Linked DNA regions of Rattus norvegicus. The protein of the gene in region 3 purifies or fractionates together with the protein of the main gene of each other region. This does not show direct contact. Links are inferred from orthologs where the notes say so. Each region holds a gene or a part of one and is shown on either strand. Other genes may lie near its edges.

Region 1 (5,983 bases), on a different chromosome or scaffold from region 3:
TGTTCTGGCTACTTGCAATAATCTGCACCCCATTCCTTAGCCCCTGGTTAAAGGCTATTTAAATCCAAAAAGAGTCTTTTCTCAAGAGTAAATTCAGTCTGTTCTTGGCTTCTTTCAAAGCTGCAATAAATACTTTCCCCCATGGGCTCAGAAGTCTCAGCTAGAGTCTACACTACTCTTGCAGAGGACCTCAACCAGGACACCTAGCACCTGTGACTCCACTGAGGCCAGATCTGGTGCCCTCTTCTGGTCCACATGGGCACCTGCACTTACATGTCCATTCCTCTACCCCATAAACATAATTAAAATAAAATAAGGAGCTGGAGAGTTGACTCAGCAGTTAAGAACACTGGCTTCTTTCCCAAAGGACCCAGCTTTGATTCCTAGCACTCACATGGGACTCACACCTGTCTGTAACTCTAGTCCCAGTGGATCTGATGCTCTTTTCTGGCCTCCTTGGGCACTGGTTCACAGACGTTCACTGCAAGCAAAACACCCATACAGAGGTTTTTGGTTTTTTTTTAAATCTTTAAAAAAAAAAAAAGTAACCTTTCTCCCAAACTTTGATACACTTTTCCAATTCCCTCCTTACTGTTTTAGCAAGAATTCAGGTATGGGCTAGAGAGACCACTCAGTGGTTAGGATCATGGGCTGTTCTTCCAGGACCAGGGTTCAATCCCAGCACCTGCATGGCAGGGCAAAACACTAATGCACATAAAATAAATTACTTAAAAAAAATCAGTTACAGATCTTCTGTGTCTTTGCACTGACCAGCTCACCAGAATATTTGTGTCTTTGCACTGACCAGCTCACCAGATTTTTTTTTTTTTTTTTTTGCAGTCACCAGGGGTCACTTATCAGTAATATTTGTCCATCTCTACAGACAGTGCTGGCTCTGATAAAGAAAACGCTGGCTTTCAATGAGAGCAGCATAGTACAACGGAGAGTCAAGAACTAAGGCCCGGCCGGAGTGCTTAAACCTTTACTCAGTAATCGTTCCGTATCACATCCTTGCTACTGTAAAGCTTTCAGGCATTACAAAAAAAATTGATTTCCCCCCCTAAAATCTAATTCCTTGCCTTTTCACAACACCCCAAACACGATCCCCCAACCACAGCATTTTTCTCCCAATGTTTACCATGACAGTCACAAGAAAAGCGCGAGCACAGCAGGAAGGCCCCTCCAGAATTAACAAGGTTTCTCCCTTGATGTTCTACTTCCCTCCCATCCTGGTCTTAAACCTTTGAGAGTTCTACTTTAGTGGGGGGGAAAGAGGGAGAGGGAGGGGGAGAGAGGGAGAGGGAGAGGGAGGGGGAGAGAGGGAGAGGGAGAGGGAGAGGGGAGAGGGGAGAGGGAGAGGGAGAGGGAGAGGGAGAGGGAGAGGGAGAGGGAGAGGGAGAGGGAGAGGGAGAGGGAGAGGGAGAGGGAGAGAGAGAGAGAGAGAGAGAGAGACCCTTACTCATACTCCTACCGAGTTAGACTCATTTGGTCTCTGAATATGGAGCTGTTACACCCACACCAATTCCCTAGGCTCGGGAATCCTGGGGGCGGTGGTGCCTGGCCAGACTTTTACCACTATCCCCACTGCCTCTCAGGCGCTACCAAGTCAGCGTCTCACTGTCCCTGAGTAACAAGTCAAGGTTGCTCTAGGCCTCACCATTGAAGCCGATCACAGCCTGAAGCTCCAGTTCGGCTACGTCGGTCTCGGGTAAAATTTGTTCTTCCATCCTGGAGAGTTTCAGCTGGTTGATTCCTCAACTCCAGGGTGCAGCGTCTCCTAGTCGTTATGGTAACTGGAGCACGCATGCGTGCTAGGTTTACGCCAGAGCAGAAACCCAGCCCACTGAGTTTAAGTTGATTTTCCCCTCTTGCAAATGTAGGGAGGACTTCCTTATTATGTATTTTATTCATTCTGGAAATGTAGGTGGTAGGTTGATACTGGGTACGCAAGGTAAATATCCTCCTCTCCGTGTAAAGGTCTGTGACTTTTTTTAAACTATAAAATTAAGCCCCTCATGATGATTATTAAAAATAATTGAACACAGAAAAACTGAGCACAGAGAATTGCCTGTGATGAATAGGTTGCTTAAAAAAAGCATGGAATTGCTACTTCCTTGTAAAGAAAAAAATTGTTTTAAAAGACACTAAAAACGTTTTAGTATAGTATGCAAGTGTGTGTGTGTGTGTGTGTGTGTGTGTGTGTGTGTGTGTGTGTATGTTGCCTCTATGTATATTTCCTGCGTCAGCCATCCAAGTGCTGGAATTCCGGGCTTGAGTTATCACACCCGGCTTGTTTTTGCTGTTTTGAATTAAGAAAAAAAGCATGCAGAGCCGGGGTTGAAGCGCTTCCATTCCCTGGAAAAATGGTTTGATTCTTTTCAGCAATGTAACCATTTTCCTTTCCTCCAGCAATTCATGTAAATTAACAAAAATCGATTCTTGCAACCCACTGTCCCCTAGGGGTGCGCTTTGGGGCGTAGTTCTGAGGTCAATAAAACAGGTTTCACTTTGCAAACTCTGGGCTCCGGTGGCGCACCCTCCAAACTGCGGAGAATGAGCCGCGCGGGCCGCCGTAGTCAGCTGCTACGAGCAGGAAGTGTCCCAGCTGCAGGCGGAGACTGCACCATGGCCCCAGACCCCTGGTGAGTTGCCGGTGATGGCGGTGATGGCAGCAGTGTATGGGGATTAACTTGGGGGGTGGAACTGGCTTCCAGGGACTGGCAGAAACCCTGGTCATCGTTGAGCTTGAGGCTGGCGGCTTTAGGGATGAGGATCGGGCGAGGATCCTCCTTGTTGAGGGGACTCAGCCATGTACTGCCTACTCGGTGCTAACTCTGTGGTCCCAGGGGAGACTCTGACCTGGGGGAGCTGGGACTTGAGTAATCGAGTAATTTGCCCCCTTTTTTATGGGGCTTCCTGCCTATCCTGCTTGTGGCTGACTGCATGCGTAGACTTCCCTGGGCTCCTGTAAAAGTGAAGTCGATATAACCTTTCGGTGGGATATTCCTTCACCCATTAATCCCCCTGCAGGAAGGGAATAAACTGAAGTTCACACTCCATGGTCACCAGTTAGTTAGTAGCTAGTTGGGCACGGGTGTTATGGGCTCTTCACAAAAAACTTGTAGGACTCTGAGAGGGAAATTTTGCACTTGTAATAAGCCCTTTCCTGCATCAGGAGCATGAAGACTTATGTGAGTAAGAAGTGGTGTAGAAAATACCTAATAGGGATCATTTATTTAGCAAAGAAGCCCCAAGGAGAGAATGATGAAAAAATATCTATACAAGGAACAAATTGCTATAAAGTCATGACCTTCCTGATTAACAATTTATTACACTGCATTTCTGTAAAGTCTGTGTTGGAGAATATGCCTTATGTTGGTGTTTCTGGTACAATTTATAATTGTTTGATGGCAGACAGTTTTGAATATGAAGAGAGTGGATCCCAAGGTCAGGCTCAGAGTTACCTGGAATCTAGGCTATTTGGGCCAGTAGCTGAATTGTTTGTTGTTTGTTTTTCAGTGTCTCAGTGAGTTTAGGTTGATCTTGAATTCCTGATCCTCTTGCCTCAGTCTCCGAAGTGGTGGCATTACAGGACTCTGCCACCATGCCCAGCCAATTGCTGAATTTTCCCATAAGGTTTTGACAATCGTATACACCCCTGATAGAAGTTTAGAGACTACTGAGTATCTGAAGGAAAAAAGATAGCACCTTCATCACTTGGAAACAATCAGTGCTCACTTTTTTTTCCAGTGCACTTATTGTTTGAATTTATATCCTGCTTGTATTTTACAAAACAGGAAGCATTTCTCCATGCCCTTAAGTAGTCTTAAAACCATGATTTTTAATGCACATCAGTGCATTGTCTGGGTGTGCATAACTTATTTCAAATTTGAGCTCAGTGGTAGAATAATTGTTTACCACATCCAAGACCCTGGGTATGGTCCCCAGCAGGACAAGAAAGCTTTCAGCTGTCAAATGAGAAAGCCACTGTGACAAACAAGACTAACAGCAAAAGAGTTGCTTGAGTGTCTTGGGTAAAATTCTCCTGATCTCATTAGATTCCCGTGCCACGCTCTGCAGAGAACTGATGTCCGCTATTTTGTACCTTCCATGTGGCAGAACATGCCAGGCATGTTTTCTTCTCTCATCTTTGCTTATGCCGTGTGCCTTCCACAGTGTTTAGATTTCGCTTCTCCTTCCTATAGGGAAATCTGCTTTAGACTTTTTTAGAAGTCAGCCCAAAGTGTCCTCTTGCGGCCCAGCCTGTTTGAGTGCCTCATCAGTGATCTCTTCCTTCCTGGGCTCTATAGACACTCAAGTTAGGTCCCTTTCCTAATTGATGGGACTTGGTTAGGGGTTTATATGTTTGATGTGCTGTCACAGAGCTGGACTGAAGCTCCTGTCTTCATAGGTGATGGTGTGGAGACAATAAGTATGGGGAAGTTGGGGCTAGGATCATTTTTCTTATTACTCTGCTATATTATTATTAGTCTTTTTAAACCACCTGCTTTTTTTCATAAGCCTATACCAGATTATACTGATTCATACTGGTTCATACTGATGTATACGTGAGTCTAGGCTTAGGGGGTGACATTGCCTCTGAAGTGCTTGTGGAGTTCACAACACAAAGTTCTCTGTATAGGACCTGGAGCCATAGCCCCAGCCCGAGCTACACACTTTGGTGACTGAGCCTAGTGCCTTGCATAAGCTAAACATTGATCTATGCCCTTACTCACCACCACCCCTTTCTTTTTGAAGTATGAGACTGATCACTAAGTTTTCCCCAAGCTGCTGAGGTTATAGGCTACTACTTCTAGTACTGGAATATTTTAGGGAAGTAAGTTACTTATCTTCTTATGGGTAGAACTGGGACATCCGGGCAAACAGCAGTTTTCAACATTTTGAAATGGACAGTCCTGGAAAATACATCATTCACATGAGCACAGGAGTCCCCGCTTGTAAGGAGCAGAGTGGCGTGCGAGATGAGACAGGAGATGAACATGCTGTGATAAGGAACACTCTGGGTGCTATTGGTGGTTGATTTGAAATTTTTTTCTAGAGATTTATTAATTTATTTTATGTATGTGAGTATACTGTCACTCTCTTCCAGAAGAGGGCATCGTATCACATTAAAGATAGTTGTGAGCCACCATTTGGTTGCTGGAAATTCAACTCAGGACCTCCAGAAGAGCAATCAGTGCTCTTAACTGCTGAGCCATCTCTCCAGCCCTGAATTTTAATTTTTAAAAGATTATTTATTTTAAGCATGTGGGTGTTTTGCCTGTATGCATGTCTGCACACCATGTGTTTGCCTGGTAACTTACAGAGGCTGGAAGAGGGTATGAGACAATTCTGAATTGCCACGTGGGACCTGAGAATTGAACCCAGGGCCACAGGAAGAGCAGCAGTGCTCTTAACCTCCGAGCTAGCCCCTCATTCAGCTCATTTGAATCTTTCCAAGCCCAACACTGTTGGGTGGCAGGTGGAAAGCCACTCAGTGTTCTGAGAGAACCGTGGCAGGGTTAGGAGTCTGCCAGGCTTCTTTGTCAGCTAGAGTGTTTTTGCTGCCTGCCCACAGTTCCTGCTGTCCCCGCAGCGTGCTTTTTGCACGTCACTTCTCATCTTGCCTCTGTGTCTCCTGCCCTGAAACAGCATCTCCTTGTCAGTGTGTTCCCTTAGACTAGGCTGGCCTCGAGCTCACAGAAATCCTCCTGCCTCTGCCTTTGCAAGGCTAGGATTGAAGGCACGTGACACCACACCTAGCCAGCACTTTCTTTTAAAGAACTTTAACGCGACTTTGACTTTGGTGCAGGTTCTCCACGTACGATTCTACTTGTCAGATTGCCCAAGAAATCGCTGAGAAGATTCAAGAACGAAATCAGTGTGAAAGAAGAGGTGAGAAGACACCTAAGGTAATGCAGGGAGGAATCCGCGTGCTGCTGAGCTCTGACGTCTGAAAGCATTGCTAGATCTGAGGTGTGCC
Region 2 (5,956 bases), on a different chromosome or scaffold from region 3:
GGAACATAAGGGCATCTACCAAGGGCTAGCTAGCTTGTTCTGCCAGTGTGCCGTGCTCCATTCGCATCCTAGTATGGTGAGACTGAAATGAGCGCCCTTCCTTCCCACTCTAGAGGAGGAAGAGGCAAGCTTACAGAGTCAACGAGTCTGTCCACAGCTACATGTATAGTAAGTTTAGGCAGAAGTGGGACCCTAAACAGGTCCAATACCAGCAGCCTGATCTTGATCGCTCTGTCAGGATACATTTTTGATACATTCTAACTGTAACCCTAATGGGATTCACAATTGACCGTGGGCAGATAAAGAAGTAATTGCAAAGTGAAACTCTGCTGAAGACCCTCCAAGATGCCCGCCTGCTGTGATGGAAGCTCCGATTTCTTCTGCTAAGACATTCACTCCCATCACAACAAAACTCAGGAAAGTAACGTGAGCTATAGTCTTGGCTCATCGATTTGCCTGACTTTCCCACAGAATAGTCATCTTTAAATTCAGTAACCACACTGTGTTAAGGGACTCACCCATCTGAAGATCACGGCCATTAAACTTAGTTAAGATTCAAACACTTCGGGGGGAGGGTTGGGAGGGGAACACCCATAAGGAATGGGAGGGGGGAGGGGGATGTTTGCCCGGATACCGGGAAAGGGAATAACACTCGAAATGTATATAAGAAATACTCAAGTTAATTAAAAAAAAAAAAAAGAATCAAACGCTTCAAGAGCAAAGTTTTTTTTAATTGATAAATTATTACAGAGTAATCAGTTTCTTTTTAAAATAAAGTTTCAGGACGTTCTTTTTTGTCTCTTCCCATTCTCTTTGGAAGTCTCCTGAGCATCTGCACAGGCACAGCAGGGAATGGCTCAACTCCACAGAGTCCCAGCACTGCAGCTTAAATAAGCTGTTACCTGGGGGAATGGGCTGCTTTGACTTTAAAATTTGCTCCAATTTTTTAATCTTTTTAGTTCAAATAAATTCCAGCTCCTCTCTAGGTCTTTTTCAGCTGAGTGACACAACCACTCTGATGCTGTGGGGTATTATACAGTAATTATTGTGTTAATTAATATAATTACTGGTAACTATATAATCCCACAGCAAGCACACTGCTTTTGTCATGCTTATACTGTTAATTCCTGTTAGTTCACAAATTCATGTAAAACTATCTTTTTCTATCAATTAGGAGCAGGCTAAAAAGGGAGCAAGCACATCAAGAGGAAAACCACTGTATTTTCAAGAGTCATTTAATTATTCAAATAAGCATACTTTTTTCCCACAGTGCCAACAATACAATCTCCTTTCAAATGAAAAAAAAAACGATTGCCCTGTGTGGGTCTCACATTACACTAAATATAAGGACAGGGATAACAGTATCTTTATTTTTTTTAAATAATTCAAATGTTTCCTTCTATGTGACAAGAATTTTAAACACAGAGGCAAGAAAACTCAATTGTAACAAAAATCTAGTTTATTAGAGTCTTCACAGCTTTGTACCCAGTCTCTCAGTACTATTTAAAAGAAAAAGAGAGAGAAAAAAAATGTTTCTTCTGCTAAAAAAGAAACAAACAAAAAACACATTAAAATTCAAAATAAGCAAAATCCAACTGCAACTGAACGTCTGAGGCTCTGGGACTCATTTCAAAGGCAAGATTCTCAGACAACAAGGGCAACAAAATCAAAATGGTCTTGGGCAATGGAGCCAAGTGGTATTGAAGAGAACAGGCAAGGTGAAGTATCATCAAGGCAGGAGGCCATCACCCACTTTGTAAAAATCTGTGAGGCAACACAGCTCGTGGTATGTGCTACCTAGGTTCTCTCCCCTTGCTTCCTTCCTTGAACTCATCAACCTCTTTTAGACATCATCAACCTCTTTCAGACATCATCCCCCTCCTTCAGAGCTAAGAGGGACTTGAGGAGGTTACTGGGATGGAGGTTCAGAGGCTGGGAGCAAAAATCCCTTGTAACAGAAGACAGGTGGGGTGGGGGCATGGGGACGAGGAAGAAAATCATTTATAAACATAAAGATTAAGGGAAATTCTGGACAGGGAATGAGGAGCAGCTTAGGTTCAAGAGAAGTTACTGCTGTCATCTTGGGTTGGGCTGATCAGGTAAGAAAGTGAAGATACCCACAATTCTGCAGACCAATGAGAATCATCTCTTCTAGACAGTATGTTCCAGAGCTGAAGTAGAGGCAAGTTCAGCAGCCCAATGATCACTCAATTTCCCTAATGAAACTGAGCCAAAAAATAAGTAAATAAAACTCATAATTTGTTACTAACTATTCAAGTTAAATCTGTACTTAAAGAAAAGCCCTAAAACACTACACAAGATATATTCCAAGTCACAGGATACACTGCAATCACCTGTTCACAAAAAAAAAAAAAAAAAAAAAAAGAAAGAAAGAAAAAAGAAAAAAATTCTGAGCCCTTAGAAAAGAAATGTTAAGAAAATCAGACAAGGCCCCCACCTTCACACTGTTGACAACCTAGCAAGGAGAGTGATACCTGGGTATGCTAATTTTAAAAGTGTGCAAAATTGCACTGTACCAAGTTTTATATAAAATTGGGTTATATATATATACCCAAGAAGGATGAGAAACACAGAATCAAGGCAGAGGTCTGAAAAATATGAATTCTAACAAGAGCTAACACACAGGGCTTCACAGATGTGTATTAGTTAATCTTGACAACAGCCCTAAGAGAGAGGTACGATTCTCTCGAACCAAGAAGGAAGTTTTGAAGGATAACGAAAACTTGCCTAGGAGACAACTTGTAAGTGGCAAGAGTTTGATTTGAATTCAGGCATCCTAGCTCGTCACTCTAGTGTGCCACGGATAAGGATAACAGTATTATTTACTAAAACCACAACTCTGCTGCATTTACTGATCCGTAATCTTGACACTTCATACAGTTCCTTTGAATACTCTTATATTTTACAAACGACAAAAAGAAAAGAAAAAAGAAAAAAATCAAGATGTAGAGCAATGTTTCCAAGGTCATACAAGCCTTTAAAAAGCGGTGGGGTAGGAAGTCGGCACCACCACCACCCCCCCCAAATGGTTTCCATGCAGAAGACACTTTGCATTTGAAGCACATTTGGTCCCTATCATAACCAACCAAGAACTCATTCCTCCCCGGCCGCCAGCACCGCCCACACCAGCCTCGCGCCCTGGAGACCAGCATTCCCAGGCAGCGTTCCGCGCCCCAGGCTCTCCAGGCCGCCCCCGCCCGGCCGGGCAGGGTACTCACCGGGAGGGAGTCGAGGGACCCTGGAAATCTTGCTGGTGATCTCAGCAGTGAGCACTGCGAAGTCCTGCTCGTACCCTTCGAAGTCGGCTGACATGGCAGCTCCGGAACGGCCGGCCGGAGCCGGGTTCTATCTCAGAGCAGGACTCACGAAGGGCGCCTGGCCTCGGCGCAGGGACCCAGGGAAGAAGTCTTTAACAGCTCAGCGGGAACCCGGGACAACTCCCAGCCCAGCCGCTTCCTGGTTGCTCTACACAGTCCCTGTCCTCCGGAAACTGCACTGCCTGCGCCTTTTCTTTTCCACTCAATCCTCGAACGTAAAGCTAAGGAAAAAGTTCACTTTCAATGACTCCCCTTTTTAAAAAAAAAAAGATAACTACGAAAACCAGCATGCTCTCGGGTATCACAGAAAACACTTCCCCGCACTGCACGTCTAGGGAAAGCTGGTGCTCCCCCAAGTTCTAAGTTGCAGGCGTAGGCTTTCCGAGGGAAGATTGACGCCGCGCACCTGCCGGAAGTGGCTCTGGCAGAGCTTGCGCGGAGGGCCTGAGCGGGAGTCTCACGCCCCTGCGTGAGCCAGACACGCGCCGGTAGGAGTTGCTCGCTCGGTTCTCGCCATCAGGTTTCGCATTCGGCTTACTCAGGACTGATGTGCTCATGACAGAGCTATAAAGAGGAGAAAATCTGTTCCGGTGAGCCCAGGCCGCTCCGGAAATGCGATGGCCGTGGAGCGGGCACCGGAGACCAGACTGAGGTGGGAGTCACCGCAGGGGGTGCAACCCTCTTGTTAACCTAATCCGGCCAGCATCCCCAAAATATGAAGCCCAGCCTCGCTTTATAAGACGTTTGTATCGTGAGTGAAGGTCCTAGAGCTCCCTTACTACTGCATGGGCGAGAAACTGAGGCAGGCACCGGGCGGGCGCATCGGCTGCGTGGAAATCCGTTACTCATACGTCATACCCACGTATCAGGTCTTTTCCCAGCTCATTTCACTCCATTCAGAACTCACATCTACAATTATTCCCCTGTGCGTGCCTTCTTCCCCTCTCCCTCCTCGCCCCCGGAGGGATTTTTTTTTCTTTCTTTCTCTTAAATCTACTTTGTGCTCGTTCTCGTGCACTGCTTCAGTCGTGATTTTTCGCATGCACACTTGCGGCTCTCTCGTTTTGCTCTCACCCTTGTACCTGTACCTTTAACCCCGATCGATTGCTAATGTTGGCGCTTGGGAGAACAACTTCCACTTGTTAATATGCAAAGAATTATGTGTGTAGAGCATGTCTCAGTTAAATCACAACTCTTTGGGAGGCAGTTTAGAATGTCCTAAAAGAAGTTTGGTGCCTTGGCTTCTATTCTGAGCCCAGCTGTTACTTGTGACCTTGGTCGATCTAATCACAGTCTCTCTAAGCCAGCTTCTGTTGTAGGAAGAATCGGATAAGTGATAATTAGATAAGACCCTGCTTCTCAGCTCCCTAAGCCTTTGTTCTCTCAGACGATCCACTAAGAAAGGGAGTTGTCAATCCTTTCTGGCAGTTTGAACAAAGGAGTAAAACTGTATATGTCCCGTTTACATGCACTTCAAGCTCGGACTATATTCTGGATAGATCCAAAGTAATTGTTTTTGTTCTCGGTCAGATGTGAACCCCCACACCGGTGTGCTTTTGACGCGCTGTTTCAATGCTTCTTGGAGTTAAAGAAATGGCATATGAACTTTTTAAATGGAATGTTACTATCTTGTTTTCTTTAGACTGTGTTTCAAACCAACCAAGATTCTCCTCCTCGAGATCTGGAGGCCACCAGTGAAAATGGCATACTCCATATCAACACCCCGTCATCCAAAGGCATGACAGACAGCTCAGGAACACGCGTGGACTTTTTGCACACAGAAATGTGTACACAGGAAAAGGAAATCTCTAGTTCTTTAGAAGAAAGAAGTCATTCTTCACCAAAATGAGCACGCTCTGCTCAGTAATCAAGTTTGAAAATCTTCAAGACTTAAGAAGACTGTGTCATTGGGGTCCCATAATAGCCCTGGGTGTTATAGCAATATGTTCCACAATGGCCATGATTGACTCTGTCTTGTGGTATTGGCCCTTACATACAACTGGAGGAAGTGTGAATTTCATCATGTTGATAAATTGGACTGTCATGATTCTTTATAATTACTTCAATGCCATGTTTGCTGGTCCTGGCTTCGTCCCCCGGGGCTGGAAACCGGTAAGAAAAAGATCCATTTTGGCAATGATCATTGCACAGTTTTATATTTAGTTTACCATTATAATTCCACCTTTTACCTAATCAGCCTTTGTCCTACAAAACACTGGTGTACTCCACTTACTGATGATGACTTATAGAACTTATGTCTATTTCAAAATAGTAATCTATGTTAGCTATTTCCAAATCAACTGAACACTTGTTCTTTGGAGGTTTGGGGGATAGTATTTAAAGGATGTGTGTGGTGGTCCATACCTTAATCTCCACACTGGGGAGGCAGAGGCTTGTCATCTTGTGAGTTAGACCCACCTGGCCAATGTAGCAAGTTTTCAGAGAAGAAGAAAGGGAGAACATGGCTCAGGCTGAGAACATGTTGGAACACATATCAAGAAAATGAAGAGCCTTGGGTGACTGAAAAAAAGGGGAGGGGGGGTAGCAACTAGCTGAGAATCATGGGAGCTGCTTGGCACCACAGGGATGTCTGGATGTTTTAGGCAAAGCAGCCCTAT
Region 3 (6,010 bases):
TGGACTCTGACCTCATAGGTAGCAATGAATATCCTAGTAAGAGCACCAGTGGAAGGGGAAGCCCTGGGTCCTGCTAAGACTGAGCCCCCAGTGAACTAGACTGTTGGGGGGAGGGTGGCAATGGGGGGAGGATGGGGAGGGGAACACCCATAAGGAAGGGGAGGGGGGAGGGGGATGTTTGCCCGGAAACCGGGAAAGGGAATAACACTTGAAATGTATATAAGAAATACTCAAGTTTATAAAAAAAAAAAATCACATTTCCTAAGTTTTCACACAGAGACTTTCCAGATTAATAAAGAAGAGTTAGGGGCATACGTTCCTGGCCCAAAAGCAATCAAAATAATTAGCCAAATCATGGCATTATGACTAAAACAAAGAAAAATAATAGATTACTCATAAAAGCTAAAGAACATCTCTATCATAGCTCCATGATCATATTTCCTTATGTTTTTTACAGGGGCATTAACTAGCTATGGGGACAAAGTAAGGGAGTCCGACATAGGAAGCAGATATACAGATAAAAACATCAACTGAAAGGGCTGGTAGGACAGCTCAGTGAGTAAACACACTTATTGCTTTTGTTAAGGACCCAGGTTCAATTCCCAGCACCCACATGGCAGCTTGGAACAGTCACTAACTACAGTCCCAAGGGATCTGAAGCCCTCACTGATCTTTAAGAGCACCAGGCATACATGTGGTGCACATATATGCATGTAGCCAACACCACTCACATACGTAAAATAATAAAATTTTAAAAACATCAGGCGAATAAAAACGAACCAACCAACAAACAGAAAAGCGCGCCTGGGCTGTCTGAGGACTCTGTAGTCTCACCACCATGACCTGCCACAGACACAGACTAAGACACTTCCATTCTGGGCAGACCACTTCAGCTAAGTCTGCCAAGTTGTGTAGGAGCCGACTCTCAACCAGTGAGCCTAACATCAACCCTGCACTATAGACCGGGTGATAGAGGGGTTTCCCCTGGAATGGTCCTCCTCCTGTTTATTTTCTTGTCCCTGAACATCTTTTATTTTTGTGTCTATAAAATACTATAAAATATATTTTCCCACAGTTAAAAAATTATTAACAAAGGACTCATAACCATTAAGTTTAAAAGACATGTAAGGAGATAAATAAAGAGAGAAAACAAATACAAAAGTCTACATTTTTGGAATAAGTCTAGCATCTAGCCAAGTGGAGAATGAGGGGATGGTGGAATTGCAGTGTAAGGGGTGGTTTCCCGCCTGAATCCCTATGTCTGGATCCTTCCAAAGGAAATGAAACTGAGTAACCCCACCAATTTTCTAAACGTATCAGACAGATACTTCATCACACGCGTCCCCTTTGACTCAGCTCCCTCAGACTGCGCACAAAACAGCACCCTCTAAGGCGCCTACATCCTAGTCACCCTTTCAGGGCCGGGCTCTGAGAGACCTTTCAATGTGCCCTACTCATCTCCTGTACAGCCCACGTACTCCTCCATCGGATCTGAACGTCACAACCACTGGGGATTCTCCAGGATAGAAGAGAGGCCGAAGTGATCGACCTGCTCAGTGTCTCCATTGTCTGAACTTGTCCCCTCCGCCAGAGGACAAGACCCGGAGCGTCGAAAGGCTCGATCTCGGTTGCCAGAGCTTGCTCCCGTGCGCCCTCCCCAGGCCTCGGAGTACCGAGCGGTTCGATCTCCCCGGCCTGAGCCCACCCCCTCTGCCCAGCGCCAGGCGGTGGAGCGCCGAGTCGCTCGATGAGCGGGGGCGCTGCAGCAGAGCGGAGCGGTGGCGGGTCTGTGCCCTCGGCCTTCCCCCTCCCACCCTCCTTCCTCAGCTTCCCGCTCCCTCCCCCGCCCGCCCTGCGCTGCCAGCAGGGACTGCTGCCCGGAGCTCTTCGGAGACCTCAGGTATCCCGCCCCGGCGCGCGTGAGGAGGAAGGAAGCCAGGCGACGCCCCTGCCTACCGCCCCCAACGTCCGCTGGGGCTGGGAGCTGGCCTGCGCGAGGGCCGGGTCGCGAGTGGGGAAGGCTGGGGCCCGGGGTACCCTGAGGAAGGGGCGCGAGGACTGGGGAGCGGCTGGGGTGGCCGGGGAGCTTTGGGATCGAGTTACCCTCCAGGGGAAGAGCTGTTCCCGAGGGGGCACCTGTACCGGGAGTGGGGGGCCAGAGTTCTGAGCGGATGTCGCGGTGCGGGGCCTGGGGCGGCGGCGGGGAAGGGAGCCGAAGAACTGGCCGGGAAGCTCCCTGAGGTCCTTCCTCAGGGGTTCGGAGAAAGCGCGCAACCCCGCTGTGCTTAGAATGACCCGTGGGTAGAGGTGAATCCTTACACGTAACAGGTTTTGCGAGTAAGATTTCCAGGCACGATTTGCGTGGAACTGTCACCAGCCAAGATTGCAGATGAGAAATGAGGGAGAACCAGCAAGAGAATGGAGGCTGAGCAAAGGAAAGCCGTGCCCAGCCAGATTTGAGCTTTTTAGGGAAATGAAATACACAGAGCTTGTTTTGAAGTAAAAAAACAAAAACAAAACAAAACAAAAAAAAAACCAACGTAGACTAAACAACAGGTTAGACGCGTATTACGTGTAAAGCCACTGAATAGAGAACGTACTACAGAAGATGCATACGTGAAATTTAAGCGAGCAGGGAAGTACACGTAAGAGTCTTGCGATGTTGACACTTCAGTGAACCGGGTAGTGATCCATCCACGAAGTGGAAAGACATCACGATGACTCTTACTACGTAGACACGTTAAACGACAAGAATATTTTTGGTAGGAGGAACTGTAGGCAGAATGTAGTCAACTCTAATATGTGAGCAGTTTATTTCCGCTTATTTTTAATCTATAAATATCATTAGTTGAGGTAGTTTATCAAAGGTAGCTCGTTTATCTGTCTGCTCTTATGCTGGTGGCTTGTTTATTCGTCTGGCCTGAGTTTGCTTCCTTTCTTAGACTGATAGCTTGGATTTTAGAACCTGATTAAGAGGTTTACCCCCCCCCCCCATTAAAGTTTAGTGTTATACCTTGTAAAAGACATTATGTGAACTTGCTTGATCCCACTTTCCTGTTGGCTAAGATCAGTCGGAATACCTGTTCTTACCAGCCAGTTGTTTCCTTGTGGCTGTGGAGGATAAAAATATAAAGCCCAGATACAGTTAGAAATCTCACTTTCTTCAATTCTTGCTTTATCAGCTTTTTCCCTCAGTGCATTCCGTAACATTTCTGCATGAGATTTATTCTGAGATTAAGATGTAAGGAGTAAGATGGGTCAGATGATTGTAACAGAAGTAATATAGAATAAAGACCCCCAGAGCTGTCACTCCAGCATGGAAGGATAGCAGTTATAAGTGAAGCTGTTTGGAAACAGATAACAGGAAGCTGATTTCACTGGTATTACTTTTGATTCCGGTTTCTCTTAGTGCCTAACAATCAATAAACTCATATCTAAATTATTTAAAGATCTGTTTTTTTTTTAATAGAAGATGGTAGGCTGTTATAAATGTCTTTCTAGAACAGAGTTCTAGACCATGATGGTAACTAAATGAATGGATATTAATGCTGATAAGGCATAGCCACTTATTGATCTGTTTGAGTGATGTGATATAACAGTTATCTTACTAAACTTTCTTAATGCTTACCTGAAAGAAGTGTCAAGCATTTAAAAAAAAAAAGTGCATGCTAAAAATGCTGTTACTGAAGATGCATATTAGCACATACTCAGGACTTTTACTTAGCCACCATACTGGAAATGTGTATTTGCATGACAGCTACTTCCCTGGGAAAAAATGGTTATTTTGCGTACTCAAGTATTTCCTTCAAAAATCACAGTGCACATTAACATCCAAAAGTCTGTGAGGTGCTTCCACAGCAAAGGAACCCAGGTTCATTTAACATCCTTGTTTTTATATATGAAAAAGCACATCTTCTCTCAGAAAAAATGTCTGTGAACCCAGAAAGCAAGGAGGGTGTTTTCCCTCAGAAAGCAAGCGATTTTGCAGGAGATCCTCTACTAGACACTAGTCGAAAGTCCTCTTAGGTGGTTTCTACCACTGTCTTCTAGGAAGTAGCCACAACTGTCCCCTTCTTTAGCGACCACTGAATAAAAAGCGTCCTACAGAAGATGCATACGTGAGATTTAAGGGAGTGAGTGTACTTCTGAGTTTTTGTACCTGGTTGGCTGTAAGTTGAGATGGCCACTGTCCCTTTGTTGGTTTCAGTTAATTTGCTAGAGTGGCTTGCAGAATGCAGATGCTTTGCTTACGTTTGCCAGTTTATTTTAAAGACTGTTATAAAGGGTGCAGATTAACGATCAGATGGGATGGATGGAAAAGTATAGGAGACACCCAGAGCTATCCTGGTCCCTCCAGGTGTCCATCTCTAGGAAAGTCATGTGTTTATACCTCAAAGCCCCCTGGGGCCCTGACCACTTGGCTTTTGTGGGGGGCGGGGGGGAGGCAGGGCACTCGTAGATTATAACAGCAGCTGTCCAGAATCATGTCAGCCTTTAGCCCTCTACCTTCTCCAGAGGTTGGAGTGGTGTGGAATGAAATAGCTCAGCCTTTTAATCCTGACTTGGTTTTTTCCAGTGATATCCTCCATTCTGAAGCTGCTTATAGACTGGGAGACACCTGTCAATCCCATTAGTATAAAAACTCACGTTTATCTCCCATGGGTATGGGGCTTTTAGGATCTACATGTTAGGAGAAAAAGAAGGCCACAGAGAGAGAAAACATGTACATGTACATACATTTGAATACGTGTACATATGTGTAGTGAGTCAGCAGATATGCATATATAAACATGTATGTATGTATATACACATATGCACACACACAAACATGAGAGAGAATTGCCATTCCCAGATCGTCACATTAGTACTTACAAACTAGCCATTCTCACGGAGTGCCAACGGAGCAGAGTTTATAAGTGTTTTTGTATGTGTTATCTCATGTGACCAACTAACTTCATGCGGAATCCTGGAAATCACTATTTTACAGATGAGGAACTGAATCATTTCTTAAGCAACTAATTAAAAGTGCAGTGACAAGAAGTATGCCACTGTTTTCTCACTCCAAGTGAGAATCACAAAGCTCTTTCAGGATTTAGGGACTATTCCCATTTTCTCCCTCTTTGACAGTATCTGCTCTTTCATGATATAAAATCTCCAATTCACCATGTTCTCAACACGTTTCCTTAGGAAAAGAACATCCATTTTTATGATGGCTTTAACTACTTCTTCAGTCTAAGACTTAGCATATAGACTGTAGTCAGTGGAGTGGAGCAAGAGTAGGTAGATAAAGTCACGAGTGAGGAGATCTTATTGTACAGTCCTTGGCACTTTAGCCCTATACCCCAAAGTTCCTCATATGATGAATTTTTTTTCTTAAGGTGGTGGATACTTATTCTGTTGGGAAATACAGCAAGAGTATTTGTGAGCAGAAAGTATGCCTCCCAAGTTCAAGCGCCACCTAAATGACGATGACGTCACTGGGTCTGTGAAAAGTGAGAGGGTAAGTTTAGACTCTTCAGCTTTAAAGAAATTGAATGTTAAGTTGCCTTTCTAGTGAATGATGTATGTATGTATGTAAGTGTGCTCACCTATATGTGTGAGTGAGAAGACTACACATCAACATTGGGTCTCTTCCTCTGTTGCCCTCCACCTCATTTTTGAGACAAGGTCTCTCGCTGACCTGGCACTTGCTGCCTGAGTAAGCTTGCTGGTCAGAGAGCACCAAAGCATCTCCTGTTTCCATACCTCAGCACTGCTTACGGATAGATAGATGCATGGTGCCACACTTGGCTTTTTAACATGGATGCCAAGGGTCCAAACTTAGGTCCTCTTGCTTATAAAGCAAGTACTTTTTCTACTGAGCCACCTCCCAGACCTCATCGGACATTCAAATGTGGTATACATTTGTGTAAGTCCTTAGATTCGATCCGTTTGTATCTTAAGACTTGTTCTTGTGGCTGGTCTAATTCCTGGAGGAGAAATGTCCTCAGGAAAGATACATATGTGATTC

The links. The genes of interacting proteins can lie anywhere in the genome.
Region 1: the proteins of Vamp4 (region 3) and Stx8 purify together in Homo sapiens (co-immunoprecipitation; 3 studies listed by BioGRID and IntAct, counting the BioPlex papers as one, with this or other methods). This does not show direct contact. The link is inferred for Rattus norvegicus from reciprocal best matches to the Homo sapiens genes VAMP4 and STX8.
Region 2: the proteins of Vamp4 (region 3) and Vti1a purify together in Homo sapiens (affinity purification with mass spectrometry; 4 studies listed by BioGRID and IntAct, counting the BioPlex papers as one, with this or other methods). This does not show direct contact. The link is inferred for Rattus norvegicus from reciprocal best matches to the Homo sapiens genes VAMP4 and VTI1A.

Annotation. Positions count from the first base shown.
Region 1 is NC_086028.1:53,152,069-53,158,051, forward strand, and holds the start of Stx8 (syntaxin-8), read left to right. Parts: upstream 1-2,625; coding exon 2,626-2,642; intron 2,643-5,812; coding exon 5,813-5,912; intron 5,913-5,983. Other genes in the region: Cfap52 (cilia- and flagella-associated protein 52), read right to left, coding at 1,658-1,727. UniProt on the Homo sapiens protein: Vesicle trafficking protein that functions in the early secretory pathway, possibly by mediating retrograde transport from cis-Golgi membranes to the ER.
Region 2 is NC_086019.1:264,359,276-264,365,231, reverse strand, and holds the start of Vti1a (vesicle transport through interaction with t-SNAREs homolog 1A), read right to left. Parts: upstream 3,359-5,956; 5' UTR 3,334-3,358; coding exon 3,240-3,333; intron 1-3,239. Other genes in the region: palmitoyltransferase ZDHHC6, read left to right, coding at 5,184-5,450. UniProt on the Homo sapiens protein: V-SNARE that mediates vesicle transport pathways through interactions with t-SNAREs on the target membrane. These interactions are proposed to mediate aspects of the specificity of vesicle trafficking and to promote fusion of the lipid bilayers.
Region 3 is NC_086031.1:77,451,375-77,457,384, forward strand, and holds the start of Vamp4 (vesicle-associated membrane protein 4), read left to right. Parts: upstream 1-1,945; 5' UTR 1,946-2,004; intron 2,005-2,175; exon of another isoform or gene 2,176-2,307; intron 2,308-5,378; 5' UTR 5,379-5,434; coding exon 5,435-5,500; intron 5,501-6,010. UniProt on the Homo sapiens protein: Involved in the pathway that functions to remove an inhibitor (probably synaptotagmin-4) of calcium-triggered exocytosis during the maturation of secretory granules.